4 linked regions of the Rhinolophus ferrumequinum genome follow. The protein of the gene in region 1 interacts with the protein of each later gene in a pairwise test. Links are inferred from orthologs where the notes say so. Each region holds a gene or a part of one and is shown in the gene's direction. Other genes may lie near its edges. The genes, in order: FHL3, TTLL10, CNNM3 and RFX3.

The links.
Region 2: the proteins of FHL3 (region 1) and TTLL10 interact in binary tests that used the Homo sapiens proteins (3 or more experiments, as listed by UniProt). The two-hybrid records come from large-scale screens. The link is inferred for Rhinolophus ferrumequinum from reciprocal best matches to the Homo sapiens genes FHL3 and TTLL10.
Region 3: the proteins of FHL3 (region 1) and CNNM3 interact in binary tests that used the Homo sapiens proteins (3 or more experiments, as listed by UniProt). The two-hybrid records come from large-scale screens. The link is inferred for Rhinolophus ferrumequinum from reciprocal best matches to the Homo sapiens genes FHL3 and CNNM3.
Region 4: the proteins of FHL3 (region 1) and RFX3 interact in binary tests that used the Homo sapiens proteins (3 or more experiments, as listed by UniProt). The two-hybrid records come from large-scale screens. The link is inferred for Rhinolophus ferrumequinum from reciprocal best matches to the Homo sapiens genes FHL3 and RFX3.

Annotation. Positions count from the first base shown.
Region 1 is NC_046292.1:26,548,410-26,555,750, reverse strand, and holds the start of FHL3 (four and a half LIM domains protein 3), read left to right. Parts: upstream 1-4,334; 5' UTR 4,335-4,547; intron 4,548-7,341. UniProt on the Homo sapiens protein: Recruited by SOX15 to FOXK1 promoters where it acts as a transcriptional coactivator of FOXK1.
Region 2 is NC_046292.1:317,760-324,589, forward strand, and holds the start of TTLL10 (inactive polyglycylase TTLL10), read left to right. Parts: upstream 1-3,829; coding exon 3,830-3,996; intron 3,997-6,830. UniProt on the Homo sapiens protein: Inactive polyglycylase.
Region 3 is NW_022680356.1:2,261,902-2,268,977, forward strand, and holds the start of CNNM3 (metal transporter CNNM3), read left to right. Parts: upstream 1-4,068; 5' UTR 4,069-4,083; coding exon 4,084-5,407; intron 5,408-7,076. UniProt on the Homo sapiens protein: Probable metal transporter.
Region 4 is NC_046295.1:32,635,378-32,643,143, forward strand, and holds the start of RFX3 (transcription factor RFX3), read left to right. Parts: upstream 1-4,754; 5' UTR 4,755-4,968; intron 4,969-7,766. UniProt on the Homo sapiens protein: Transcription factor required for ciliogenesis and islet cell differentiation during endocrine pancreas development. Essential for the differentiation of nodal monocilia and left-right asymmetry specification during embryogenesis.

The DNA of each region.
Region 1 (7,341 bases):
ACCTGGGAACACGTGGCTGGCACTGCCGTAGGCCGAGCTGGGCGTGGAGTGTGCGCATGCGCAGTTACCTAGGGCTCTACGCTTGTATTTACGCGGTGTATTTAAAACTAGGAGCTGTGTGGATTTTGTGTGTACAGGAAAAGAGCACTCTGTAGAGAGTGCGGACCTTAAAACCATGTCTGGCTCTGCCATTCATTGGCTGCGTGGCTTTTGACAGGTCGCTTGATTTTAATAAGCATCGTTTTTCTCAGCCATAAAACAAAGATAATAGCATGCGCTGCTTGCCTCAAAGAGCCATCAAGGCACTCACAGCTGAATGGAGGAGTGATATCATGGCAGTAGTTATAAAGTTCTGAGCCTTACACCCTCAAGTGAATGGCTGGCTGACAGCATGAGTGTCAGAGGCAGTGCCATGTAAATGATTAGGACCATAAACCATGGAGGTGTGTTCTGATCCTAACTGCTACCAGCCAAGAAAAAGTTAGCTTCACTCGACCTTGGTCTCCTCCTCTGTGAAACTGAGGTAGTAATACAGAATTATTGTGAGGATTAAATGAAATACAGTAATACCTCGGTTTTCGAACGTCTCCATTGACGAACATTTCCCCGTTGAGGAACATTTCCGTTTACGAACGCCGTAAACCGGAAGTAAATGCTTCAGTTTTTTAACACACCTCGGAAGTAGAACATGTCACGCGGCGTCCACTGAGTGCAAGATCCTGAGGCCTAGCTGTCGGCTGTTTTCAAACGTTTCAGAACTCGAATGGTCTTCCGGAACAGATCACATTCGAAAACCGAGGTACCGCTGTAACATGTTTAAAATGCTGTGTTCACCCCTTAGCAAGTTCTCAATTTTGAGCTATTACTGTTATTACTAAACCTAAATGTGAGGATTGAGAGAGGGTTGGGCACTGCAGAGCACTCCAGAAGCATTGGGTTTAGTTTCCACCATGTAAAGCTAGATTTCAGCTGTAATTACATCCATTTCTCACGACAGGGCTCACTCTTCCTGCTGAGGAGCTCTGGGGAAATCCTCTCTTCATTCCCCAGAAGTGGAAGTCCAATAGACCAGTGGGCATGATAAAACCTAAAAGTAGCTGAGATCTGAAGTGTGAAAAGTTTTTTTCTGAGTCTGAGGCTTGCCCAACTAGGGCCACATGCATTAACAAAATTCCATCTCATTTGTTACTTAACCATTGAAAGACAAGGCCCTTTATGATCTGGCCTATGCCCACTTTTCCAGCCTCCTCTTGATTCAGAAGCCTAGCCATTAGTCAGAGTAACCTGGTGGCAGCCCCAGTCACTCCTGCTGCTTCCCTTAAAGAAGGCGTTGAGTAATAGGTACACCCAGGAGAAGACAGCTCTGCACACTGGAAGGGATAAAGAAACCTGGAATCCGCCTGCAGGGGCTCTAGGCAGTCCAAAGGGTAAGGGTGAGCAATATACCCAAAGAAGGAAGGAAATTTTCTCACTGGGGGAAGGAGGCTTGTGGTTACAAGCATCAGAGAGTGATTCAGTACTCAAGAGGAAACCACGAGAGGCCTGTCAGTCATCACCCGAGGCCACCTTCTGAAAGCCCTTCCAAGATGAGAGAACAGCTGGGAGATCCTGAGCAAGCCCCCTTCCACCACAAGATAAGGGTGTGTGGGGACCACCTGGGTGGGTAAAGGGACAACCAGATCCCACTCACCCAAGGCTGGTCGTCCAGGACTAAGGCTCTGCTTCCAGCCCCAGCTCAGACACACCTGTTCCTCAGAGATAGGGAGGGAGGGGGACTGATAGAGAACAGGAACAGGGAGTCCATGTGGCTGATCCCTAGACCTCCCTGGGGCATGTCCTCCTGGGTCAACAGAAATAGAGCGGGCAGGGAAATATGAGCCCACTGGAGAGCTAGAAATGTGGAGGAGAACCAGAGGGGCACTTACAGTGTAGGCATGAGAAACAACAATGATAAACAGCCCCTGGCCTACAACAGTCCCTCCCCCAGGCTGGGCCAAATCAGAAGTCGCTTAACTGGCCTCCAGACTCCAAGTTCATCATCAGCAGAACCTTAACACTTGACTGTGAAAGGGAATGTGTGTGGGTGTCCGGGGTGGGGAAGAGGTCCCATATATTAAATACCTACTGTGTGCTCTCATCCAATCCTCACATGAATGCTATGAGACAAGAGTCAACCACTCAACAGATGAGGAGCCTGAGGCTTAAAGAGGTTAAATGATTACAGAGGCTTAGAACCTAACAGTTAAGCTTCTTTTTTTTTTTTAGCCTAAGGAGCTTTGATATTTGATTGGATTTGAATCCAGGCTTTGGCATTATTAGCTGTGTCACCCTTGGCGGGTTACTTACTCTCTCTGTCCCCTATTTCCCCATCTTTAAAACAGGGATAAAAATACATATTTCATAAAGTTGCTGGAAAATTAAGTGCACTAATATATGTAAAGTGCTTAGGTACTAGTACAAAGTTAAGAATTCAGGAAAGATGGACTCTTGTTAAGGCTTTTCAGCAGAAATTCAAGCTGTGAGTAAAAAATTAGAGACCCCCAACTATACCTTTGATCCACCTTCCTCACTCACTCATAACTCCTCCCTTTCTGAAAGCTGCTCACCTGTGCCCTCCCCATCACAGCAGAACCCTTTTGGCCTCTAACTTCAGCTACCGTGTTTCCCCGAAAAGAAGACCTAATAGGAAAATAAACCTTAGCATGATTTGTCAGGATGACATCCCCTGAACATAAGCCCTAATGCGTCTTTTGGAGCAAAAATTAATGTAAGACCCGATCTTATTTTCGGGGAAAATGGCAGGCAGTCTTCCCTGAACCTCCTGGGGCTGGGAGTCTCCTACACCTGCAAGACAAATCCCAGAGAAAGGGCCCACCCATGGTCTGACTGCTCACTCCCTGGATTCCAGATAACAGATGCCTATGGTCCAAACTGGGAGGAAAGGGGGTATCCAAACTGAAGCAGTGTCATTCATTCATTCATTCATTCATCAGATATTTATTATCCGAACATTAGAGTAGGTATTGGAAAAGTGGTGGCGAACAGAAAGGACCCATTTCCTGCCCTCTTGACACAGGAACAACAATAATAAACAAGCAATTAGTTAATTTTGAGAGGAAATCTGGTCTGGAGGGTGACTTGGGACCCAGGAAGGCAGGCATGTGATTCAGAGATGGGAGAAGAGGATACTAAGGAATCCCAGCCTGGAAGGGAAAGAGTCTCTGCTCTGAGAGTTTGGCTGGACCCAGCCTGGGGGATGGGAGAGGCTCTGAATCTCTACTCTAGATGCCGAAGGTTATTTCCAGGGTTGGTTTGTTGTTTCATGTTTTGCAAACAGCACAGCAGAGCCTCCTCCTTCCTCCCCCCACCCTTCCAGATCAAGGCTATTTATTCCTAGTGACAATCCTGAGGATCCCAGGGGGGCTGGCCTCAAGGACCTAGAGGGGCCTTGTGTCCCTGGCAGGCGCCAGTCCTCCCTCCCGGGCACAGGGAGGAAGCCAGAGAGTTGGAAACTGTAGAGGTGGGGGAGGAGGGGTTCCCTCTACTTCCCTGCCCTGTGCCTCAACCGCGCACACTCCTCACCCCGCTCTCCGAGAAGCCCAAAAATCATGGGGCCAAGGAGTAGAATCCCCCCTGGGGCCTCAAAGGTCAAAACTATTCCTGGGCACTGTGGATACCTAAACAGGACTTCGCGGTCCCAGGATGCACCTGGAGGTGAGGTGGTGACTACTTCTGTTTTTGCCAATCGGAGTTGTGGAATAAAGCCCTTTGAAGGTCAAGGCGCTACTGCAGGGCGGAGGTGGGGTCCTCTCTTCACTCCTCTTTCCAGAGAACACCTAGGTCCCCATCGACAGGGCCGTGATGGCAGAGTCAAAACCACCCTCTCTTCCAGGCTAGATTAAGGCCCCTTTCACAAACCCGGGCTGAGTGTGACCCCCTGGGGGTAAATTGGGAGGAGGGGGACACAAAGAGGGCATGAAGACTCTTGGTCCCCAAAAGGACCTTGATCAGCTAGCTGGGTCCTGTACCCCTTAACTGAGACTGAATACAGCAGACTCCCGCTTGAGGCTGGGGGGGTGGGGGTGGGGAGGAGAGTGGAGGGAGCAGGGAGCGAGGGCAGCAGAAGCGGCAAGGAAGGGACAGGGGCGGGGTCCTGGCCGCCCAGGAAGGTTGAGAGAGCCAGGTTAGGCTGGGCCGGAGGAGGGGGACTGGGGCCCCAGTCTAAAAGGGAGGTGGGGGCGGGGTCTGCCCCCCGCCTCGGGGACTAGGGGCCGGGGGCGGGTTCCGCACCCCGCGGGCAGGGGCGGCCGGGGGCGGGGTCCGGGCGGGGCGGGCCCCCGCGCACACTTCCTCGGGAGGGTTGGGGCCGCGCTCTCAATCGCCCACACGGTCCGGTTGCAGCCGGCAGCTTCGCCGGCAGCTCGCTCGGCCTCCGCGCGGCCCGGCCAGCAGGTAGGAGCCGCCGAGGGACGCGGGCCCGGCTTCCCGGCCCCCCTCACCCTCACCCACGACGAACGCCGCTCCCCGCTCCGGCCGCCGGCTTCGAGGTGAGCTCTCTGCCGAGCGCGGCTCGGATCCCAGCTCCTGGCCCCCGCCCTCCGGCTGGGAAGGGAGCGGAGGCGACCCGCCCCCTGCCCCCGCCTGGGTCCGGCTGCGGGCGCCTAGGGCGCCGATCTCGGGAGATCGCTGAGCCCGGGTCTGCACTGCAACCGGTACTCCGGCGGGGCGGGCGCTACTGTGAGAGTTGGGCGAGGGAGGGGGCCAAGTTTGAAATAGAAAAGTCCGAGTCGAGAGAAAGACCGGAGGGTTCTGAGAAACTGAGTCTCCCAGAAAGCCGGGTGGAGCAAGAGACCGAGACTGAGACCGGGACACGAACGACAGGCTTACACAGGAGGCTGCAGTTATCTAAAACAGGGACTCCACTTGGGCGTAGAGACTCTGAGAGACTGACCGGAGGCATAGGGACGGAGGCAGGTTTTGTGGAGCATTTTAAGAAAAGGCATACAATGACCCTAGTGAACACGCCATAGCGCCCTTTCCAGGACCTTGGGCAAGTGAGGGTCCCAGAAGCCTGAGCTTCCTTAGCCTTGTGGTGAATCAGCTTCTGTGAGGCCTACAGAGACATTCAGAGACTGGAGACAGAGACACTCAGGCATAGAGAGAGGCTAAGAGGTAGAGAATTGGGGTGGGGTGGGGTGGAGACCAAGGCATTCCTCCCCATAGACACACTAAGAGAGCAGACGTGGGTGTTCAGAGGTAGAAATCCACGGAGGGAGGCTGCTTGGAGATAGCCAGTCATAGAGACAGAGACCCACAACATACAGACAGCTGCTGAAGTGTGCAGAGACAGGCACAGGGTGAGTGGAACAGAGCTAGTCACCGAGAGACTGAGATTTAATGGAGGTGCCCTGACAGCTTCCAAGACAGACCCTGAGAGACTCAGGCCCAGAAGATTGGGAAGCAAGGATGTGGGAAAACACAAACTCTGGGCTGAGTCCCCATGACGAGAGGAGCTGAGACAGTAAGACTGAGCTCAAGAAGGAGCCCCAGGCATACACCAAGACAGCCCCAATTTATTTTTAAACTCATCTTGGATGGGCTGCTTCAGCCCTGGGGGACCCAGGGTGAATGAACTATTCCTCTCGTCCCCAGAACAGCTGCTGGATCCTGCTTCCCACCCCCTCCCCCTGCCCTAAATTGCTGTGACTCCCAGGCCCCGTGGGGGGGAGGGGAGAGTTTGGGGGGGGGCGGTTGGTGCCTGTGATAGCAGGGGTGGGTGTGGGGGGAGTTCAGTTTCTCCCCTTTAGTCTCCTGTCAACTCCAGGGAGCTGGAGAAGGGGTCTGTTCAGATCCTGACTCACAGCTGTGGGACCTGGCCAGGGTTCTCCTGGACATTGGGGGCTGCAGGGGGGCAAAAGGGTTGAGTAGTTGGCATGGGTAATTGGAAAGGCTTCTGGGTGTCTTCCAGTCTCAGGGCTGGCAGCTGGGGCGAAGAGCTGGGTTCCTGCGCTACTGATGTCATCCAGCATCTCATGTCCTCCTGCTCCTAAAGTGCTGACCACCCCCTCCACCATCCCTGCAGCATTTCCAGGGAAAGAGAAACAGGAAAGGGCCCCTGGGCTCTCTGCTACCTGAATGACCTTGAGCATACCCCTACCCTGTCCCTGGCCTCTGTGCTCAGCTGTAAAATGGAGATGACACACTATCCCGCCTGCCTTTTGTGAGATCTGCTGAGATGGTGGGTGGGTGTGCACTTTGTGAGAGGCACAGCAGCATGCAGGTGTGTGCACCTGTGTACCTGTGTGAGGGGTGTCAGTTATGCTGACTGGAGTCGGGCTAGCCTGATAGCCTGAGCCTCGTTGGTGCCCCCAGCAGAACAAGGGGTTCCTCTTTGTTCTCTCCCTGGGCCTACACTGAGAAGGTCCAGGTCAAATTCTGGGTGCTCCCCGACCCAGGCCTGGCTGAGTACCTGTTGTCTGAACCCAGAATGAGGGAGGGGCTAAGAAGAACACTAATAGGCTCCCTTTACTGACTGCTAACTAACTAACTGCTGGGTGCTTTCTAAGTATCTTAACATTTAAGCCCAACAACAACCACCTCAGGAGGTAGGAGATAGTGTTAGATGGGAAAATAGTCTCAGAGAGCTTACGTGACTTGCCCAAGATCACCCAGGCTTATATTTCACAGCTCAAGCCCTTGCACACCACATGCATGCCACAGCCATTTATCCAGCCATTCGGAGCTCCAGGAGGTTCACTGAGGTGCCAGCTGTATGTCTGGGTCAGGTGTAGGGGTGTGTGTGTGTGTGTTGGTGGGGGCAAGGGCTGAGAGCCATCTGGCAGCCTGAGCAGTCTCCCCTGCACTCTCCTACCAGCCATGAAGGAACACAAGACTGGCTCCCTCAGTTCCCCCAGCCCTGCCAGGGAAAGGGGGAGGCGGAGAATGGGCAGAGACAGGTGGGCCTTGATAGTGCCCTTCATTCTGTCCTCACTAGAGCCCAGCTGGACAGACTAGGGCATTCTGGGAAGGAAACAGAAGTCATGCCCATACCCTATTTGGGGTGCCCCTGTCTCAGAGTGGTGACTGCCTTCCAGGGGGCGGGCCCTAGGGTAGCCTGGGCCTGGGAAGGTGGCTGATGCTTTGGGCCAAGCCAGGAAGGAAGGAAAAGGCCCAGGGCACTCTGGGACAGAGGCATGGCCATACTCACTCCACCTGTGTGGCCCCCTGCTGCCCAGTGGCTGACAGCCCAGGCAACCCTCAGATGTTGGGCCAGAGGAAACCCAGGCCCGAGTGGTGGGGGGCAGACTGAGAAGGGGGATACCGTCCACCCTACAGCATAGC
Region 2 (6,830 bases), about 26 Mb from region 1:
ACGTCCCACCTGGCAGGAGGCCACGGAGAAGGTGCTTTGGACAGCTGTCCCCTGTAAAGCGGGCGTGGGAGCCTGGCGCTGGGAGCTGGGCCAGGGGCCTGTGCTGGCATAGGATGTGTCCTGACGCCTGGGCCTCTGCGTGCTGATGGTGCGATAAAAGGCGCCAGGGAGCCCCATCGTACTGGGGCTGTGTTCCGGAAAGACGCTGGAGGCTGGCTCTCAGCGAGGCCTGAGATGGTGGGTGGCCTCTCGGCCTGGCTGGGCAGACCTCCCAGCTTATCAATGGCCCCCGACCCACTGCTAGCCCAACATTGGGGTGCAGTGCAGCCACCTGCCCCAGAGCTCAGGAATAGTGGTGGGCAGGGGTAGCGTGTGCCCACCCGGAGCCCCTGGGGACTCTGCTGCCCTCTCCGGGTGGCACCAGCCCCAGGCCTTGCTCACCTTGGAGGGGGCCCTGGGGGTTGAGGTAAGTCCTGGCCTGGACCGCAGCCACATGGACTCAGGGGCCAGGAAGGGGCCTGGCCCCTGGGCCACAGCCGTGCCTCTACCCCATCCCAAGCTCAGCGGCAGGTGGCCATTGGCTGCACTGGGTTGGGCCCCCAGGTCTGGCCCTGGGCTGGTCAGTGCTTATCCAGGACTCATGCCTCGGATTCCAGTGAGGACACCCTGCTCGGCCCTCGTGCTGCCCGGGGCCAAGGAGGCCTGGCAGGGGTTGTGTTCTTGGTCCAGCCCTGCCCTCTGGGAGCTGGGCAGGTGCGGACTCTGAGAGCTGGGGCCGCCCACCGGTCCAGATCTGCTCCTATGCAGTCCGGGTCCTGGGACTCAGGGCCTCAGAGCCTGACCCACAGTCCTCCAGAGAACTGCCAGCCAGAGAGTGACAAGCCTGGTCCCAGCAAGGGCCACTCGCCTGCAAAAGACAGTCCCCAAATTCCCTGGTACAAATATGAACCACACAGCCACCTTCACATCAGCAAAAGCCCGTCACAGACCCTAGAGCTGCTGCTGTTGGTTTGTGAGCAGAAGGCGGGACAGGGCATCACTGAGGAGGCCCCCCAGTCCTGGGGGGCCTGAGGGGGACCCCCAGCAGGGTCCCCTTGGCCTCCCTGGAGTGTTAGCCCACAGGGGGGACCCAGGGTCCCCAGGGGCAGCACCAAAGGGGCCCAGTTCCTGCTCCTGGCTGGCGTGTGATGACCAACCAGCCTCCCTGTGGCTCATCTGTGAAGTCAGCGTGGCCACCACCTGTCCGGGACGTTGGCTGTCTGACCTTAGTATGGCGGGATAAAATCACGACACACAGCTCCGAAGCCACGTCCGTGAGATGTGATTATAAAGGGGAGATGCCATGGTCTTGGGTGGAAAGAGCACAGCTGGTTTTTAACCTAATATTCATATATGTACATTCTATTTACTTACATCGAGGCACAGCAGAAAGTTTGTAGGGAGCGCACCAAAGTGTCAGCAGTGGTCATGGTAGACGAGGGCCAGCCCTGCTGGTGTTCTTCACACCCACCTGACAGTGGGCGGCCAGGGGTCTGCCTCCCACCACCCGCTCACTGCCAACCCCTTTGGTAAGCGTCTACTTCCCAGAGATGGTGCCGCCGACTGCCAGCTTTCAGGAGAGCTCTCAAATGGAGCTGGGGATTGTCGCAGATTTCAGCTCATGGGCTCCTCTCAGCCACATTTCATTCCAGAAGGAAAAGCCTCTTTTGTCAGCTCCCCGTGCTGACCTGTGCTGACCTGACGAGGCATCACAAGTGTCCCTCCCCTTCTGGGGAGAAAGGACAGGGGTGGCTGGTCTACCGTGAGCTGCAGCCTTTGGTCTTCGGAGGAGGCTACAGAAACAGCTCACCTGAGTGTGTGCTGTGGGCAAGGCCTGCTCCATAGCCAGAGCCAAGCTAATCTGCTCAGGACCTCCTGGCCCCCACGCCTGTTCCTGGGGACTTGAAGGGGCCTGGTGCCTGGGGGCAGGGGCACCTGCCTACCTGGTTTGGCCCTGCAGCTACCCCAGGCTCCCTGAACCTGTGATAGCCTGGGACCTGGACAGGCTTCTCCAGACACTGCCTTCCCAGCCCAGGGCCAGACGGTGTCCTCAGCGGCCAAAGGACCTGGTCCTCAGTCACCCCCCTGGTGGCGTGTGTATGGAAGATGCATGCCCTTGCACACGCACACAGACACACGTGCACACGCTCACATGTGTCAGGCACACACCTCGGCAGACCTGCTCCGAGGTGGTCCTCCCCAGCTGCCTGGCAGTGTCTCCACCACCATACGCTGTTGGACGTCGGGAAGTCCATCCCCCGATGTCCCTGGCCTTCCCGTGGCTGAAAGAGCCTCATGGTTGCGCTGCCTGTTCTACTCGGGACATCTGAGATGTCCCTGCAAGCAGAGCAGGACGGAAAACCGGAGTGGGCAGGGGGTCTCCAGGTGGAGACCAGTGGGGGGTGCCGCTCCAACACCCGCCCTGCTCTCAGGCCCCAGGGCCTCCAGATCACTGGCCTCTGACCTGGTGCTTGCCCGGGGCACAGACAACACCTCTGATCCCTTGGCTGTCTGGGGACGTGCTTGTGGTTCCCGCACCATGTCCCCCAACCCTCTCTGGCCCAGACCGCTCGTCATTCCATGTCTTCTCTTGGCCTTCGTTCGCTGCCCTGTCACTCTTGCCAAGGATGGGGGCATCTCATCCTCTGCCAACTCCTAACATTTGTGGTTTCCCCCACACATTGATCCTTTGCCCTGGCCAGCTGGGAAGACCCCACACTCCCTGCCCCTGCCCCATGGCCAGCCATACCTACCCCCGGGACATAATTGTTCCCTATATCATACCGGCTCCCTGCACCTGCCCACCGCTGGCTCTCACCCCCGCTTTCCAATACCTGCCCCAAGGCCATTGTCCTTGCTGGGAATACTTCCCCAAGACCCTCACCACCACCTCCTTTCCTTTGTTCAGTCCACGTGTTGCCCCCAGACAAAAGCCTCCCATCACCCGAGACCTGGTCCGTGCCTTTGCTGTTGTAGCCTCAGTGCCCAGTACCGACTTGCTCCTGGTCAGAGCTCACGGACTGTTCAGGGGATGGTGGGTTCCCTCTCTGCTCCTGTCCCCAGGGTGGTCAGAGCCTGGGAAGGGAACGTGTCAGTTCCTCTGTGTCCTCTATGTGGGGTGGGAAGCCCCTCCTGTCATGTCTCCCACTGGAAAAGATGAGACAAGCTCCCTGCTCCCCTTCATGTGATGATTTGTTTTCTGAAATGCTGTCTCTGTTCCCTTTGCCTGCATTCTCCTTCCTGAGAATGGTGTAAGCATTTAAGATGCCATTAGAATTCACAACACGCTAACCTATAGTCACTACAAGGACTCCACTGGTGGTCTCTCAAGTTCCAGGGGGCCTTCTGATGCCTAGGAGGTCAGGGGAGGGACTTGTGTGGTGCTCACAGCTGTCCATGGGGGGCAGAGGGTGGCCTTCCAATGTGTTTGGAGGCCTGGTGTTCAGTTGTGCTGTCTTGAGCCTTCCCTGCCTCTTGTGCTTTGCCACCTTCCTTCCTGCAGGTGAGCAAAGGCTAAGGGGAGGCCAGGGCAGGGGATGGTTGGGTAGTGCTGTGGGAAGGTGGGCCTGGGCATCTGGGACCTGCCGTGAAGGGGAGGTAGGGTTTGGTTCTTAATCAAATGCAATAATGTATTAAAAACAATACACAGTGATCAAATGGGCTTTGTCATTGGAATGCAAGCCTGGTTATTAAAGGAGAAAATGTGATCTCCTCGCTTGATGTGGAAAAAGCTTTTAATAAATTTCAAAACCTATTTGTGACTTTACAAACAGCTCTTGGCAAACTAGCAATGGGCGGGAAGATCACTAACGTGCTCAAGTTCCAGAGAAACCTCAAAGTGAACTTTACACTAAGTGGAGAAGCGGTGGTGCGTTGTCTTCAGGAGCTGAATCAGGTCAGGGCCGCCCCCACATCATGGCTACTGCCTGACACCGTATCGGAGGTCCTGGCCAACAGGTAAGGGAAGAAAACTAAAGGAGGGGCGTAAGGCTTGTAAGAGGAGAGAGAAAAAAACTGATGTTACTTGCCAAAAGATATGATCATCTGCCTAGAAAAACCGATAGAATTGATGGGCAAACTGTTAGAATAAGAGTCCAATAACATTGCTGAATAACAGACCAACCTGCAAAAATCAATAGTATTATCTTGAAGACATTGTGCTGAGCAAAATAAACCAGACACAGAAGGACAAACACTGTGATCCCACGTAAAAAAGGCATATAAGAGGAGTCAAACATAAAGACAGAAAGTATCTGGTGGTGCCAGGGGCTGCGGAGGAGGATGAGTGGGTGTTTAATGGGGACAGGTCCAGTTTGGGAGGATGAGAAATTCCAGAGGTGATGTTTGCACAACAGCGTGAAAGCCACTTAATGTCACTGAACTGTACTTAGAAATAGTTTAAATGGTAAATTTTATGTTATATTTCTCAATGAAACATCAATAGTATTGTAAGGATGCCGCACAAAGGTCATATATTGTATGAATCCATTTATACGAAATATCCACGACAGGTAAATCCACAGAAACGGAAAGCAGGTTGGTGGGTGCCGGAGGGCTGGGGGTGGGGGCAGGGACTGACTACATAATGCAGACGGGCTTTTTTTGGGGGTGATGAAAAGGTTCTGGAACCAGATACAGGTGGTGGTTGCACAACATTGTGCATGTATAAAGGCCACTGGAACGTAGTTTAAATGGTTGATTTTATGCCATGTGAATTTCACCTCAATTTTAAAAAATGAAAACAAAATTAATAGTCTTGCTTGATACCCACAATAAACAATTAGAAAAAAATAATTCACGACAGCAAGGGACACAATGAAGTGTGTAGGATTTAACTCAAGCGAGAAGCCACCCAGACTGTGTCGGGGAGCTGTGGAGGCTGACCATGTTCCCGGGGGGGATGGAGGTGGGGGCTGTGTACTACACAGCGACCAGTTCTCCCCCGTTAACCCGTGAGGTCCGTGTGATCCTATTCAACATGACCGTTAGAGCTTTTCAGGAACTAGATAGACTTCCTCTAGAATTTAGGAAAGAAAAAGTCGTGAATAACTAAGTGAGCCTTAAAAAGAAGTGTGTGTGTGGCGGTGGGGTGGGGGGAGCTAGCTGTCCAGATATCAGGGCCTCATAGCTCATAGCAAAGCTCCACAGCTACACAGAGCAAGCAGGTCTGGGAAAACGCCTTGATGGCCAGGGGAGCGGGAGGCGTAGGCACAGACTTTTCCATTCGAGCGTATTTGATGTACAATGACAGCACCAACCAAGTGACCAGGATTGGACCAGGCTCCTGATATGGAGCCACCCATGGGCCTGGTGGCCTGGTAGTTGGCAGGGAAGGAGACCCCAAACAAACCCTGCAACACACAGACCACCTGGCAAAAAATGGTGCATTTGATGGTGTCAAAAACAGGGCTTCCCGGCCCACGGCCATGACAGGACCTGAGAAGACAGCTGCCCTTTCCTTACCTGTGGTGCTGCTTCCCGGGGTTTCAGCTACACGTGGCCAGCTGTGGTCTGACCGTCTGGGTCCCCAACCAGCGACACCATCTGCTCCTGACACCTAGCCCACATCGTCACGGCTCGGCCACCCAGGGTCACCGGAGCAGAAGGCCAACAGAGAACGATGCCCGCGTCACTCACCTCACACATCAAACAGGCCCCGCGTCACCTCACATCATCACCAGCAGGCTGAGTGCAGCACAGTGAGACGTTTTGAGTGACAGGGACAAAAGGACCGTTACCCAGTGTGTGGGGAGCAAGGAGGGCGGCGCAGGGTTAAGAAAAGATCGTAGCCATGAATAGAGTGTAAGCGGGACCAAGGGACTCCAGCCTCAAGGACTGAGGCCTATACAGTACCTTTATTAGTTAGGTGGGGAAGTAAAGGAGATAAAGCTTGTCAATCTCAAGATCTGTGAATCCCACACATCATAATAGGAAACTGATTCAAGCCAATCACCGTTGCCTGCAGGCAGCTGGACCATAAGTCTCAGGATGTCTGTACTTCCCCGAGGGACAAAACCTTTATGCATATGAATAGATGGAGAGCACACCATTGAATCTCTTCCCCTGCAGGTTGTGGGAAGGAATGCAGCCACAGAGGCAGAGGCTCTCCTTAGCGAGGGGGGGTGCTGTGCCCACCTCTATCCACCCCATGGATTCTCCTGTGGGTCCCCACGGGCCTCCACCTGTCTTAGGTTGCCTTCCACGTGGTAAGTCATACCCGTCATTGGCTGACCAGCATCTTTCTGGGGCCAAACAGGGAGATACAAAGTACAAGCACAAAGGTGAAGCAAAGTCCCTGAAAGGATCCGTCTCACAGACTTTCCTTGCTTTAGGGGCAGGTACGAGGAGACAGACGGGTAGGCTGCTGCTTGGCAACAACTCAGGATATACAAGGAGTTCTGCCACTTAGCAGGAAGAGGACAGAAACTCCAAAACAAAGTGAGGAAACGAGCAAAGGCCGTGAACAAGAACGTTCCGGAAGAGGAGCCCCTGAGCCCGAGGGCCTCGGATGGGTCATGGCCAAAGCCGTCAGCAGCTACAGAAGTGCATGGATCACAGGACAGGCCCGTCCCCACCAGAGCACAGAGCATGTAGGCCGGGCGCGGATGGTGCCACTGGGCTGGGGACATGGACTGCCAGGCTGGGGACGTCCCGTACAGCCGTGCGTGGGGCCACAGGGGTCCTGGCCTGCAGCCTTGCCCTGGTTTGGCCTGTGTCCTGTTTGTCACTCACCTCTGTGACACCATGCAAGTGGGTACCCACTGCCACACGTGTTCCCAGCGTGAGCCTGG
Region 3 (7,076 bases), on another chromosome or scaffold:
AGAACAACTGGGACACGTGCATGGAGGCTGGTCTTGACGTCACTGAGACCGAGGGGTCTGGGCAGCTGTGACCAGGGACAGATGCTCCCAGCGGCAGAAGAGTGTGCGTGCTCCTGTCACTCGCTAGATCAAGGAATTTCCAAGAACTGCTGATGGGCCCTCCTGGTGAGTTGGGGCCAGTGAGACTCTCACCCCTGTCCCCATTGGTTCGCCTCATATCTGCCCCTTTGGACAAGTCTCCCCTTGTAATGGGGCTGACCCAAAATGTTAGGCAGGGTCTCCCACCTTTCAGATTGCTCGCCCCTGCTCCCTAGGCTGCTCTCACTTTTACCAAAGGTTTTCCCCTGGGTGGGGACAGCATCTCCATTTGAGGTGACTTGGCTGCGATACTCCTTTCAGTTCTAGGAGGGAATCTGGTCGTGCATTGTTAGCAAGTGATACCATACCCTCCCCAGCCCACAACCAAAGTCTAGTCTCAGACAGTGACCCAGGAACCCTGCTTTCCAGACTCCCTACTTCTAATCCCAAACCCCAAGGCCTCTTGGGGGCTGAGGACTGAGGACATGTAGGAAGCCAGCGTCAGCAGGTTCTGCATGCCCTGTCCCCTGGTCAGGCTTACCTGCCTGTTCACACACGTCCAGAACCCAGGAAAGATTCCCACCTCGAAGGCATACTACTGGCAGCCCTGTGTCCCCCATGTCGTAACCCTACAATGAGGCTTCATCCTGGCCTGTGCCGAAGCTGGTGGTACTGGACCCCCAGAGCTCCACGCCCACAGGAACTCTGGCCCCAGCGCCTTTCCCTGGGGCCGAGTCAGGCCCTGCCACACAGCTAGCTCTAGGCTCCCCATCCCTGGGAGGCTGTGGGACCAAGGACCGTGTTGGCCCTTCTGTTGGGTGGCACAGTTGCTGGGGCCCAAGATCAGGTGAGGGGGGCTCTGCAGGCCTCGGGCCTGAGTATTGTCTGTTCACTCCTTCCTCAGCCAAGTGCTCTGCGCTTCAGGTGCCTGGAGAACCCTAAGTCTTGGGACCAGGAAATGTCTTTCACCAAGTATGCCTGCCCCTGGCCAGTCACAGAATTTATTCCTAAAGGTCTGGAGAGAAGGTGATGACACCCATGGGTTCTCAGACACCAGACCTGTTTCCTGTTGGGGGGACCCCTTAGTTTTCTACAGGAGCAGCTTGCTTCCCGAGTGCACACGGGAGCTTGCAAAGTGGTGTTCCTGAGACCTGAGTGCCAGGCGGGGCCAAGTGCATTGGCCTGAACCGAGTGTGTGAAGTGCAAGGAGCGGGCACACACACTTCCACAGCTACCTCTCTGCACACACAATTCCTATCAACAGCGCGCCCTCCGCCCTTGCCCTGCCCTTCCCTTCCCCATTTATAATCTCTTCTTGCAGAGGGTTGTAATGACTTCCAGATATTATTGGTCCATGACTTCTTCCTCCCAGTGCAATTTTTCACTTCCTATTCCAACCTCTGGTTCCTGGGCTGAGCCCTACCTTGGAATGGGCCCGTCCCTGCACGTCTGCCCGTGTGAGGGAGAACCGTGCAGATGGCCTCCTAAGGGGTAGGCAAGTCACAGCCACCATAGCAAATGACTCTTATTTATTTTGCGTAAGATTTTAATTTGTATATTTTTGTGATTTATTTTGGCATTGTTATGAGTTTGACTCTCGGGGAGTTTTGTTGTTCGACTCTTGTGTCTTTTGTCACAAAATGATAATATTTGCTAAACAATATATGGAATTTATTTTTTGATTGGTAATAAAAAAATGAAACATGAAATCTTGGTGAGTCTATGGTTTACCTATTTGAGTTCCATCAACATTTGGTACCTCTCATAGAGCTAGAAGTGGCTGTCACCTGTGTCAGGACAAGTGGCAAGTATTCCATAGGAGCTGTTTAGCAGTAAACAAAGAGGCAGAAATGTAATTTACAGCACATACATAACCAAGGCTGTTGCCACAGGAGCTGTTGGACATGCATGATAAAGGTGCTCAGCGGCCACAATTGGGAATCCCGTCATGAGAGGGACACCTCAGGGTCTCCTGCCTGTGGGTCCTGGATGGGCAGTTGGAATGAGCAAATCGGCCCTTCTCTCTCCCCTGGGGGCTGAAGGAGAAAGGAGCCTGATCCAAAAAACAGGATCACATTGTTTGGTAACATGCAGTTGCCTTTTCGTCCACCCATGGGCTGGCCGTGGTCTTGAAGTGGGAGAGCTCATCCCGGAAGAGCCTGCCCAAGGCTGAGTGACCTCACTGCGTCCACTACTGCAGTGCTCATAGGTACGCATGTGACTGAGTGTGTCAAGGACTCAGCGACTCAAGCCAGCTGTCTTCACAGCAGGCAAATCGGGAAGAATGTTTAAAGAGAGGCACTTACTTGGGTCGGCAGAAAGGACATTCCAGATAAAAGGAATTACATGCAAAAACTTGTGTATAGGTGGGAAGAGTAAATTTCATCCATCCACCTGTTCCACACCAGGTGCCAGCAACCCCTCAGTCTAATGAGGCAGACCTCCTAGGAAGATAAGTCACACAGGGACCCCTGGATTTGCTGTTACCTCTACCAGGAACACTCTTTCCCCAGGTCTTTGTGAGGCTCACCTCCTGCTCCTTCTAGGCCTCTATGCACATGTAACCTCCTTAGAGAAGCCTTCCTTGTCACCCTCCATAAAACAGCTCGGCCCCAATCCTAACTGCCAGATATTAAAACACGATTTGTACATTTCCTGTTGTCCCCATACTAGAACCTAAGTTCTAGGAGGGCAGGGACTTTCTTATTTCCACATAAATCCCAGCACTAGAACAGGACCTGATACACTGCAGGCACTCAATGCAGGAAATACCTGTTGAATGAATGAATGAATGAATGGGTCTATAAAATAAGCACTACATGCTACTAGGTAAGAGCACACAGCTCCCACAAACTTGACCCACTGAGTCAAGAGTCGAGGAAGACCAGCTCCAGGAAGTGACGTTTGCAGACTTGAGAGAGAAGCAGCAATCAGCCAATGAAGCCACAATAGCTATGCATTTAAAACTCAAATATTTAAATAAAACATGGAAATACCTTGAACCAAATAACCAGTAAGGCAAATGGTCTAGGGAGAGTCAACGAGGGACTTGAAGATCAAGTGGCAAGTATGTCCACTGATGCTGTGACTAACCAGGGGGCGGGCAAGAATGGCACAGGCGGGAGGAAGCAGTCGGAGGAGTCCTGTGAGGCCTCTTACTGTTAACAGGAGGGCACTCCTGAGAAGCTGCCCTGCGCTGGGTTCTTTAGGTCTTCGGGTATTGATGGTTTTCTGAGTGTGATCCAACTGCTGCAAGTGTCCGTACAAAGGTTTTCCCAACAAAGTGAGTTATAGGTCATTTCCCCAGGGAGCCTGGGACCAAGGAAGAAGTAGAACTGCAGTGACAGATCCAGGCATTCCTGAAACGAGTGGCGAGGATGGGACGGGGGTGTTAGGTCGCGTCGGACCTCAACATCCTCGTCGAGTCACACGCTTCGTTTTTCTCCTGGAAAATAATAACATGAAGTAGAGGCGAGGGTCCAAGGTTTCCTTATTTTCGCCCAAGGGCTGCGTCTCCGTCCCCGGACCTACAGCAGGGTCGGGCTCCATCAACATGCATCTTACGGAAGCTTAGCTTCCCGGGGCCCAGTCCCGGTTCTTCCTTCGGCCTTCCCCGCCTTCAGGTCGGCGGTTCCGGGGCCCTACCTCAGAAAGCCGCACGTCTCCCTCACCGAGACCTCCGCCTACTGCTGCCCGCCCCGCGTTCCAGCCAGGGATCTCCCAGAGCTGGAGTCCGGCCTGTGTAGTGGGTGGCCACACCTCACCCGGAGCCCCTAGTCCACCCCGTGGGCTGTCAGCCCCGCCCCCGGCCGGTCCCGACCCGCGCCGCTTGTTTACGCCCAGGCGCAGCCTCGCCCGCCCCCTGGGCCCGCCCCCACGCACCGCCCATTGGCGAACGGGGCACGAGGCCGGCGCTGATTGGTCGGAGGAGGCGCGAGTCTGGCGCCGATTGGCCGGAGGAGGGGGGAGGTAGGCTGCGCAGAGGCCGAGAGGGGGCAGCGGGCGATGGCGGCGGCGGCGGGGCGGCTGGGCTGGCTGCTGGCTGCGCTCTGCCTGGGCCACGCCGCCGGGGAGGCGGCGCCGGGCCCGCGAGTGCTGGGCGTCTGCCTGGAGCAGGCCGGGGCCGCGGGCGCGGCGTGGGCGCGCGGAGGGGAGGTGCCGGCCGCGCCGGAGGCCACCTTCCGCCTGCGCCTCTTCGGCTCGGGCTTCGCCAACAGCTCCTGGTCCTGGGCGGCCCCCGAGGGGGCGGGTTGCCCCGAGGGCGGGCCGGCTGTGGTGCCCGGTGAGGCTACGGCCCCGACGGGCGAGTGGCGCGCGCTGTTGCGCCTGCGCGCCGAGGCTGAGCGCCCACAGTCGGCGCTGCTGGCGGTGCGCGGGGAGCCTGGCGGCACGGCTACCGGGAAGGCGGCGGCCCCCGCAGGCGAATGGCGCGCGCTGCTGCGCCTGCGCGCCGAGGCCGTGCGCGCGGAGCTGAGCAGCGAGACGGCGGAGGAGGCGGCGCCGCCCTGGGTTCTGGGCCTGGGGGCGGCGGGGCTGCTGGCGCTGGCGGCGCTGGCACGGGGCCTGCAGCTGAGCGCGCTGGCGCTGGCGCCGGCCGAGGTACAGGTGCTGCGCGAAAGCGGCTCGGAGGCGGAGCGCGCGGCGGCGCGGCGCCTGGAGCCGGCGCGGCGCTGGGCGGGCTGCGCCCTGGGCGCGCTGCTGCTGTTGGCCAGCGTGGCTCAGGCGGCGCTGGCGGTGCTGCTCTACCGCGCGGCCGGCCAGCGCGCCGTGCCCGCGGTGCTGGGCAGCGCGGGGCTCGCGTTCCTGGTGGCCGAAGTGCTGCCGGCCGCCGTAAGCGGGCGCTGGACGCTGGCTCTGGCTCCGCGCGCGCTGGCGCTCAGCCGCCTGGCGGTGCTACTCACCCTGCCGGTGGCCTTGCCGGTCGGGCAGCTGCTGGAACTGGCGGCGCGGCCCGGGCGGCTGCGCGAGCGCGTGCTGGAGCTGGCGCGAGGTGGTGGCGACCCCTACAGCGACCTCAGCAAGGGCGTGCTACGGTGCCGGACGGTGGAAGACGTGCTCACGCCGCTTGAGGATTGCTTCATGCTGGACGCCCGCGCCGTGCTGGACTTCGGCGTCCTGGCCAGCATCATGCAGAGCGGCCACACGCGCATACCCGTTTACGAAGAGGAGCGCTCCAACATCGTGGACATGCTCTACCTGAAGGACTTGGCCTTTGTGGACCCCGACGACTGCACGCCGCTCAGCACCATCACCCGCTTCTACAACCACCCGGTGCACTTCGTCTTCAACGACACCAAGCTGGACGCCGTCCTGGAGGAGTTCAAGCGAGGTAACGTCTGGGAATCGCGGAGGGGACTCGAAAGCTTGTGCCCCGCACCCCCTATAAAAGGGGTCGGGGATTATGGAAGCCTCTGGAGAGCAGTGAGACCTGCAAGTCCCGTTTTAAAGACGATGACGGCCTTGCAGCTCTGAATGACCTTTTGAAATATTGAAAAGTTGTCCTTGAGAGAGGGACACAGTGCTAAAGACAGCAAAATCCCCCTTTACCTGGTAGGCCCCCAATCTGGGGAGGTATGTCCACTAGGCTCTAACCCCCAGCTCTTTCCCGCTCCGGGTCATTTTTGTGGGTTTTGTAGCAGGTCGAAGCTCTTGGATAGAAACTAAAAGAAGGTAGAAAAGAGTGTAGTCCCCAGGTCCCTGGAAACTTACGTGCCCACACATACAAGTGCACCTCAGAAGTGGTGAGGGTTCGGTTCCAGAGCGCAACAAAAAAGCGAGTCCTAATCTGTTTGCTGGTGGAGGGTCTTGCCTTTAATTTCTAGAAAACGCAACACCTGTGAAGTACAGTAAAATGAGGGGTGCCTGTGATGTTTTCAGGTCGTCATTGTTAAGGTTGCTGATGGGCTGCTGCTTCCTGACTGCAGAAAAGAGTGATTCAAAAATACCTTTCTGGGGGTGTGGAACAAACTGCCACTTGGATTTGAATTTAACCAAAAGCAACTTCATGGGCGCTAATTCAGTCTTCCCTTCAGCTGTCTTTTTTTTTTTTTTTTTTAACTTCCCCCTTTTCTAACCCTGAGTAAGGTCTCTCACATTCTCCCTTAACTCCACATTTGCATTCTCACCTTTGACCTTGGTTTATCCCAGCAACTCTAGGGTTGCACCCTCCAAATGTGAAGGTGTGGTTTCCTGTGCAGTCTTCTCATGGCCCGGTGTGGCTGTGCTCCCAGAGCTCCTTGACCGCCAGCCATCTGTGCTTCTCAAATCCGAACTCCTGCAGGATGAGCACAGGGGACACCCCAGGATTCTGGGTGGCCTTGAGGCTGGAGGATGCATAATGTGAGACCAGGAAGCCAGCAAAGCCCTTGAGCTTCCTGGCACCTAGGAGGTGTCCTGGCTCCAGGCCCCCCCTGGGAGGTGTTCTGTGAGTCCCTGACAGTTGGGGAGTCTGGGCCTTGTGACCTTGTGAGTCCTGCATTAGCGCTGTGTAAAGCAGACACTAGTGGGCGCTCACGTGCATCATCTCCTCTCTCCTAGAGGCTTGCCTAAGGAAGATTGTCACCTGGCTACAGTACTTGAACTCCTATGCCTCTGATTACCTGGGAGGCTGCTTTGGGGGCAGCTCTGACCGCTCTGCTAGAGAATCTGTTGGCTGCACCCCGCTGCCTCCCCAGAAAGTGGCCATGCAGCCCCTCTTTGGGGCGGGGAGCACTGGGTGGGGGCCTGACAGAGCCTCTTAGTGGTAAATACTCCCTGTGGGCCACTGTAGTGTTCTGGGCAGTGGTGTCCTGGGGGCCAGCAGTGCTGGGCCTGGAGTCAGCGAGGAAGGGTTCTTTCATCCCGCTGCCTCCCCGCTCGAGACCCTGGGAAGGCAGGACTTGACACCAGGATGACACCTGTGAGCAGAGCACAGTGGCGCCTGAGGGTGTTTCATGATCACTGACTGGTGTGGAGACCAGTGATTCAGGGGTGCAGAGGAGAGAGGCTGGCAGGGTGCA
Region 4 (7,766 bases), on another chromosome or scaffold:
ATGATTTTTATTTTTTCTTTATATTAGTAGTTGATAAAAATATTTAGAAGGGTAAAAAAAATTCAGTTATATGCTTTAACAATGGCATATTAGTCAAAAAAAATTTAAATGTAGGCTTAATAATGTATTGTGATGGTGGGGGGAGGGAGGATAAGATGTATGTATTCCAGGGGGAATATACTTTTAATATGTTTAAAATAGGAATAATGGCCCGACAGGAACTTAGGAGATGTTTTTTCCAGACTGTACATTAAAGGGGAAAAAAATTAAAGAGAGAGTCAACTTAAGAATTTCTTTGGCAGTTGAAGACTATGGCTCAAATAAAATCATTTTTGATAAATATTTTTGATATTAATTGAATAAAAATAAAAAGCTTTTCAGCACATATTGACATTAATTGCTGATTAAATTATAAGAGTTAACCTCTAATAGAGTTCAAGTTCATTGCCTGGTAAAAGTCTACTTGGGGTTCACAAAATTCTTAAGAAATGAAATGCTGGTAGAAGTATCTATTAACTTTATTTATATTAGTATTTCCTCCACCAAAAAAAAACCTCCTAATTTCACAGACGTATTACATAAACGCATGTTTAGCATTTTGAAACAATTCACTGATGTGCCATCTCTGAAAATTCATGAAAATTACAATTGTAGAATTGAGATCATTCAAGTCTTTTAATTCTTAATTTATAAATATTTCCTTCCACCTCCAATCTTAACTGTTAGAGAGTTTACATAACTTTCTCAACCTGGTCAGAGTTAGCACCAAAATCTCTCAAGTACTCCTAATGTTATCTCAGAAGAAAGTTATTCTCGATAATCATCTAGAGTTCACTCAAAGCAATTTCTTTAGTTTCTAGATGTATTCAGGATTAGAAAGTAGCAGGACTCATTTCTTTGAGCAGCAAATCAACATTACCTACCGTATGGTCACACTTGACACATATTTGAAAATTTATCAAGGATAATCTTACTACCTATTACTTATCATCTTTCTGTGCTGGGGTAAAAAAATAATTCCAAGTTATATATAAGGATGGACATACTTAGGAATGCTGAGTAAATACTTGGTTTGTATTACTTAAATAAAACACAATTAGAAAGACAAATCTACGAAAAAAAACAAAGAAAACAAAACCTATAATGTTTTCAAAACCAAAATATACTTTGGGTGGGTATGGGTAAAGTTGGGGGTGCTCCAGAGAAGAGTGGCAAATTATGTATAGTTTGAATTGCCTTGGCCTCTATCACTCCCTATTATTATTGACAATTATCATATATCCACAGAATTTCAGATCTACGGCATTTAATAATCCAGTAGTCTAATTCCCCAGTGCTCTGCATATCTTAAGTAGTCAATAAATGGTTGAAATGAAACCATTCATTTCACGAGAACTAAAACTCTAGGTGTCTCTTAATTTAAGAAAATTGGGTATTATAATGAAGTATACAATTTTTAAGTAGATGTGACTTCTGCTTTATAATAAGGATTCCCCACAAATTCAGTGGTAAGCTGCCACAGACCAATACATTAATTTTCAAAACTCTCATACATACAATTTTTTGGAAGTGAACCATCACATATCAGTATTTTATCTTTTCATAGGCAGCTTTTCCTTCTACAAGCATTAATGTCAGTCCTTGAATATTCGGTAGATATCAACAGGAGAAAATAACCTAATAGATAATATTGAAAAGGAAACTTCCCCATGAGAATGTACTAATTTATAAAGTATATAATCTATACCTAAATAATCAGGGCTTTGTATTTTTCAAATGATTCAGATACAAATCTGTTAACTGTCTAATATCTCTGAGCTGAGAGCAAAAACAATCCAAGTTCAAAGGACATAACATTTTAAATTCATAGATACTGACTTTGAGCATTTCACAGACAGGAACTATGTCTGGTCCATTTTAGGTACTCAACAAATAATTACTGCATTAACAGTTTATCGAATTTGTCAAGAACTGTTAAGATACTTTTTGGTTAGATACCTTTTATCATTGAGCCCAGTGTGTAATGCACTATAACAGATAATAAATGTTAGACAATGCTCTTTTCTGTGACTTAACAAATAATTTATTTCTGAAATATATACACAACATATATGAAGATGCAACTATACAGCTTAAAAATGACGAAAAAGGAGATCCAATCAGAACTGACTATAGGCAAACAGATTTCTAGGTCCTTTCATAACTATTTATATAGCAGAAAACAATACATGCATATATATATAATCCAACATGTTTTTGAATCTATAGCTTGAACTGGTGGCTTATTTGATTCAGTGTGGTAGTAACATTGAAAAATTCATATTAATCTCACTCTGGTTAGAAGTTCTAAATCTGAACTTTTAAATAACTTACTTAAGGAAATTTATTCCTAAGGAAAAAGCCAAATCAGAAAGTAGGTTAAAAAAGTCTCTAAGCAGCTTAAAACTGATATTATAATGTCCTTGCACAAAGGTTGCAAACTTTTTCTAAAGGAGAGTTCCTCAAAGTACCTGTTTATACTCTTGAGACAGTTTTGCTCAAGCTTCATTATGTGGTTTTCTTGCCTGTAGATTAAAAGCAGCAAATTAAAAGGGTGGGGAGGCTAACAGAACTGTTCACTGACAGCAGTTAAGAAGCAACAGCTGACAGTGAGGGAAGGGGCAGGCTAACCACAACAGACAATAGCACTAAAAAAGCAAAGCTATTCTGAGCTGTGTAGTGTGAGCAAACAGTTTCGTACACCATTATAGGAATATAATAAAACGAATATTCATAATGACTACCAGTTTTCATACAGCTGGAATGCATACCTTATTTCCCATGTGTATGTTGCAATTTTTATTCTAAATTTGAAGAATTGAACTGCTGTTGGTCACATTATCATTTGTCTCAGACTAGAAGGGCTACTAGTACCGTGGTGAGTCATGCAACCTTTCAGCTTTAGCACTGTGCTCACCACTGTTCACTATTACATTGTAACACATTATAAGAACCTCTATAACTCATTATAAGATTACCAAAGGCAACATCACTTTTTTAAATCTATTAATAGTGGATTCCAAACTACCCTTCCCTAATATCCCATGACACAGAGCCCTAAGAGAAAATCACTGACTTTTAAGACTGTGCCTGTGTTCTCTAAAATATTATGTACCTAATAGTGTTGAGGATTAAATGAGATAATGTATGTAAAACACTGCGGCAGTGTTAAGACCTTAGTAATGGTCGCTATTATTATTTTAGCACTGTGAATTTATGTAGGCCCAAACCCCTTATTTTGCAGGTGCAAAAATTAAGCCTCAAGAATAGGACGGACTTCCTATGGCTCTACTTCTAAGGTTATTGTCTTGGATAAGCAGCTTAGCTGCCTGTGTTGGAGGTTTGGGGTACTGGCTGGGCCTGGGGGCATGTGCCTGCAGGAGTCCTGTCTGCAGAGAACTGGACGACTATATTTGAACCGTTAAGTATCAGAGGCTGTGCAATACCAAGGGCAGCGGTTCGAGATGGCCAGTAGTGTGGTAACAACATCCACTACAGAAGGAAGCCTGTTCGTCTGTCTCAATACAGCAGGTTGTCAAGTAACCGGGGCATAGGGCCAGGAAAGCAATAGAATCGGGGGTTGAGCTCAAATCCCGGTTCGGTCAACTTTAAAGAGGGACGAGCACTTTACTTAAGGGCTGAAGATAGCGCGGAACTAGAAACTAACTGGGTGCTACCTCGGAAGGTGTAAGTTACCGCACCCCTCAACGCCTTTCGCGGAGGTGGACCGCCACGCGTTTCCACATCGTCCCGGCAGGGCAGTTTTTCGCTGCTTTCTAGCACTTACTCCCCGCCCCATAGGTACGGAGTGATAACCTCGCTTTTCCTTCTGGAATGAGGGCTGGATGAGTTCAGACCTTTCTCTCTGCGCGCCACGCAGCGGCGGGACCGCGGGAGGCCGGCGCGCTGCCCACACGCGCGGCTCATCTGCTCTAAGATGGCGACGATGGCCGCTCGCTCACGCCTCGCCGCCCGCTCTCCCCGGAATTTTGGCCTCAGGAGGCGGGAGCGGGCCAGGGCGCAGAAAGCAGGAGGGCGAAAACGGCTCGGACCCTCCAGTGCAGCGCAGGCTACGGAGCCCTAACGGGCCAAGGCATGCTATAAGGCGGATACAACTAGGAACACCGCCGTAGCCTGAGAAACGAAGGGGGATTAAAAAAAAAAAAAAAAGGAAAAAAAGAAAAAGGGAAAAAAAATAAATAAAAGCGGCGGCACATCCGGGACCATCCGATAGCCCCGCCCCGGAAGTGACACTTTAGCAAAGGGGCGGAGGGCGCACTTGAAAGTGGGCCCTTCCCCAGCTGTTGCTGGTCTGCCCAGAGAAGTGTTTGGAATCGACCCCACCACCTTCCTTCCGTGGGTTAGCCATTACCTTCTCGCGACTCGGGGGCTCCTTTGCTAAACGCTGGCTGCTGGGACTGGCAGCTCTCGGTTCACAAAACGTACCCCTCGCACCACGCCCCTCAACTCCCCGTCCAACCTGGCCAGCGCGGGTAATAGCGTACCTTTGAGAGAACTGGGGTGACCCTAACTCCTGCCAAACCCGTGAGCTTCTATTCGGAGGCCTTACTCGGAACCCCGGCCTTGTGCCCCCACCAGCCCGGGATCTGGGGTTGTCAGTCATGGTGCTGAGCCCGCCCCTTCCGGCGACTCTCGGGGCCCGCCTCCTCCCCTTTTCCCTCCCCCACCCCTCCCCTTGCGAGTGTCTCCCTCTCCCTTTCGCTCTCTCTCTCCCTCTCTCTCTCTTTTGTGAGTTATAGCAACCGTTGCCTTGTGAATCAAGCGCCATAGTCACCGTAGTCCTGGCGACTGTTACCCATCAACAACAACTACTCCTCTCCTCCTCCTCCTCCTCCTCTTCCTCCTCCTCCTCCCCACCACCACCATCTCCATCACCCACCAACAACACCACAATAATCCACAGCCAAGGTGAATATTCTTCGGTCTCTACATGTGTGTGGGAGCGTGTGGATGCGTGTGAACGCGTGTGTCCGTGCGTGTGTGTCCGTGTGTGCGAGCCGACTGTGGCTGTGCTGGGGTCTCACTCCTGACACCGGGGGCTGCCGCTGCGGCGCCGCAGCCGAGGGGCTCCGTCCCCCGGGCTTGTTTACAATGGACCGTGCGCGCCGCGGCTGGGTCGGGGGTGTGGGCGCCGCGCAGCCCGCCCGCCGGCCGGCCCGGGCCCTCTGCGGCCGCGCTTCAGGGATGGAGCGGGAGCTCTGGGGGCTGCGAGATGAGCGGGAGAGGGAGCCACAGTTTTCCGTTGCGGATGGTGGAGCTCTCCCCTTGGTCTGATCTGAAGAAGAGAGTCAGGTGAAGAGAGAAGGGTTTTTTTCTTTAATTTAATTCTTTTTCAAAGCTGCTTGTTTCCTGCTTCTTTCAAAACCGAAATAGACAACAATGTGCCGGGCGGGGGGGTACCCAAGAGGTGGTGTTTTGTTGTTGTTGTTCACTTGTGGGGCCTTGTTAAGGGTTTTGTTATTTTTATCCTCGTACAACGGTGAACTTTTCCCACCGCCTATTCCCTTTATTTTTGCCTTGTGCTAAATGGGCTGCCTTTTTTTTTTTTTTTTTTTTTTACCATCATCAGCTGCACGGATTTCTTTTTTCTTTTAAAACTGTTTTCTTTGTGCTGCAAACAGTCTTAATATCCATTCAGCACTCTCCCCCCACCCTTTCTTCTCCCCCCACACCCCTTGCACACTGAAACCTGGGGCCTCTACGCTGGACTCCGCTGTACTGGAAAAGATTTTTTTTTAAAGTCTCTCTCCTCTCTTTTTTTGGGGTGTGTGTGTGTGTGTGTGTGTGTGTGTGCGTGCGCGTGTGCGCGCGCGCTTGTGATTTAAACCGGATGCAGGGCATCAGTGATACTTGGGTTAGTAGTTATTGACAGTGCTTTATCCTTCATGAGGAGATGGGAGGGGTAGTAGTGAGGTTCCATTTCACTTTGATGAACCTCCTTCCCCACAGTGGAGTGTTAACAATTTTCATTGTGGTTGTAAGACTTTGTGTGTGATAAACAGGGAAAGGACATGAGGAAGCTTTGTGAGAACTCAGTTTACAGTGTTATTTGTGACAGTTATGGTACTTTAAAGAGTTTTTTTTTTTCTCCATCTTTTTCTCTGTTCGCTTTTCTTTGAGAGTTGAAATTGAAGTCAAGTTGTTCATAAAGAATGTATGAAGCTTCTCAACTTGAAACGTGTGTATATTTCACTTTCTTTATGGTTGTTAAGATCTAGGCATGTGTGTACTTAACATACTCTTCTTTATTTTTGGTTTTCTTTGGGCAGTGACTTAAACATGGTGAGAGGAGAGAACTTTCTCCTTTTTAAGTCTCTTTTTAAAAAAAATCTATTTTTTTCTCTGTACATTTGAATACTTATCAGTCCTCAAGTAGTATGGCTGTTGGTGAGAGGTAACGCAGTTTTCCAGATCCTGTAAATGTGTTCATTTTTCTGCCTAACGTTTAATTAATAGATTATTATCAGTAAAGAGTTTTGATAATGAATGTGTGCTAAAACAAATATAGTATTATATTTGCACATACTGAAGTTTCCAATTTGGAATTTTAAAATACTTATTTAAATAATCTTCTTTCTAACAGTAAACATATTGATTTACCTGACAGAGCACTGTGAATAATGTAACAGTATTAATTATTCTTGAGATTGTCAAAGAGTAGGTTGGGTAATTGGAATACTATTAAGGCCAATACTTTGTAAAATAAGAGTTGTGTTTTGTTTTTGTTTTTTCTTTATTAACTCTCCCTTTTTCAATACATTTTCTTGTGATTGCTATTTTAAATGAGGATGATAGTTCTGAAAGAAGTCTTTCTCAGAGCATCCGAATTCCTTTATATTCACCCCCTCCCCAACTTGGCTTCCATGCAAATCTCTAATACTAACTTGTTATTTTTTTTTTCTTCTGTTCAGATAAGTGTCAAATGCCTGAACTCTTTTGGATGGTGAAGCTCCTGAGTCCTATAAACTCTCTCTGAAGTTAATAGGAGTTTTGCTGTCTTGAGACAGTTTCAGACCTTATGCCATTTACATAATGGGTTTTCAGCTGAATAGATTATATGCTATAATGTTATGGTTTAATATTTTTATTTGCAGTGTCCAAGAACTTTTTTGAGGCATTTCACTCATGAAAATGACCTCAGATTCAATAATTTAGACGTTCATTCACAAGTTGATTTGAAAGCAGAACTTAATTTGAATTCTATTATCCTTTTTTAAAAGCATATAGGTGATATAAAAGTTGCTGTTAGAGATGCTTTGGGCTCAAGTATGTCAATATCAATCATATGGATTGAGAAAATAACCAGAAATATTAGCAAATTACAATTTTTTAAGTTTAACAGAAGGGTAAATAGTTAGCACTTCGTTTATTCTTTCTGTGATATTTTTCCTGTAAGGGAGTATATTGTGTATTGCTATTCTTCTGTGTTCTCACTTTTTTTTTTTTTTGTTCTCACTTTTTAGACTAATAGAAATCTCTGAAAGTGAATGACCACTCTTTAAAACTAAAACTGTTAAATAGGAGTCACTTGTGGCTTGTTTTTAGTAGCTGAATATCTGTGATTCGTTGTATTGTCATAACGACTATCTCAGTCTTTTAGATTATTTTGCCTGTGAATTGAATTAACCGGTATCAGCATATTTTTGTAGTATATTTATGTGTGTAATATAGTAAACTAAAATGTATTTCTAAAATGCATCATTCCA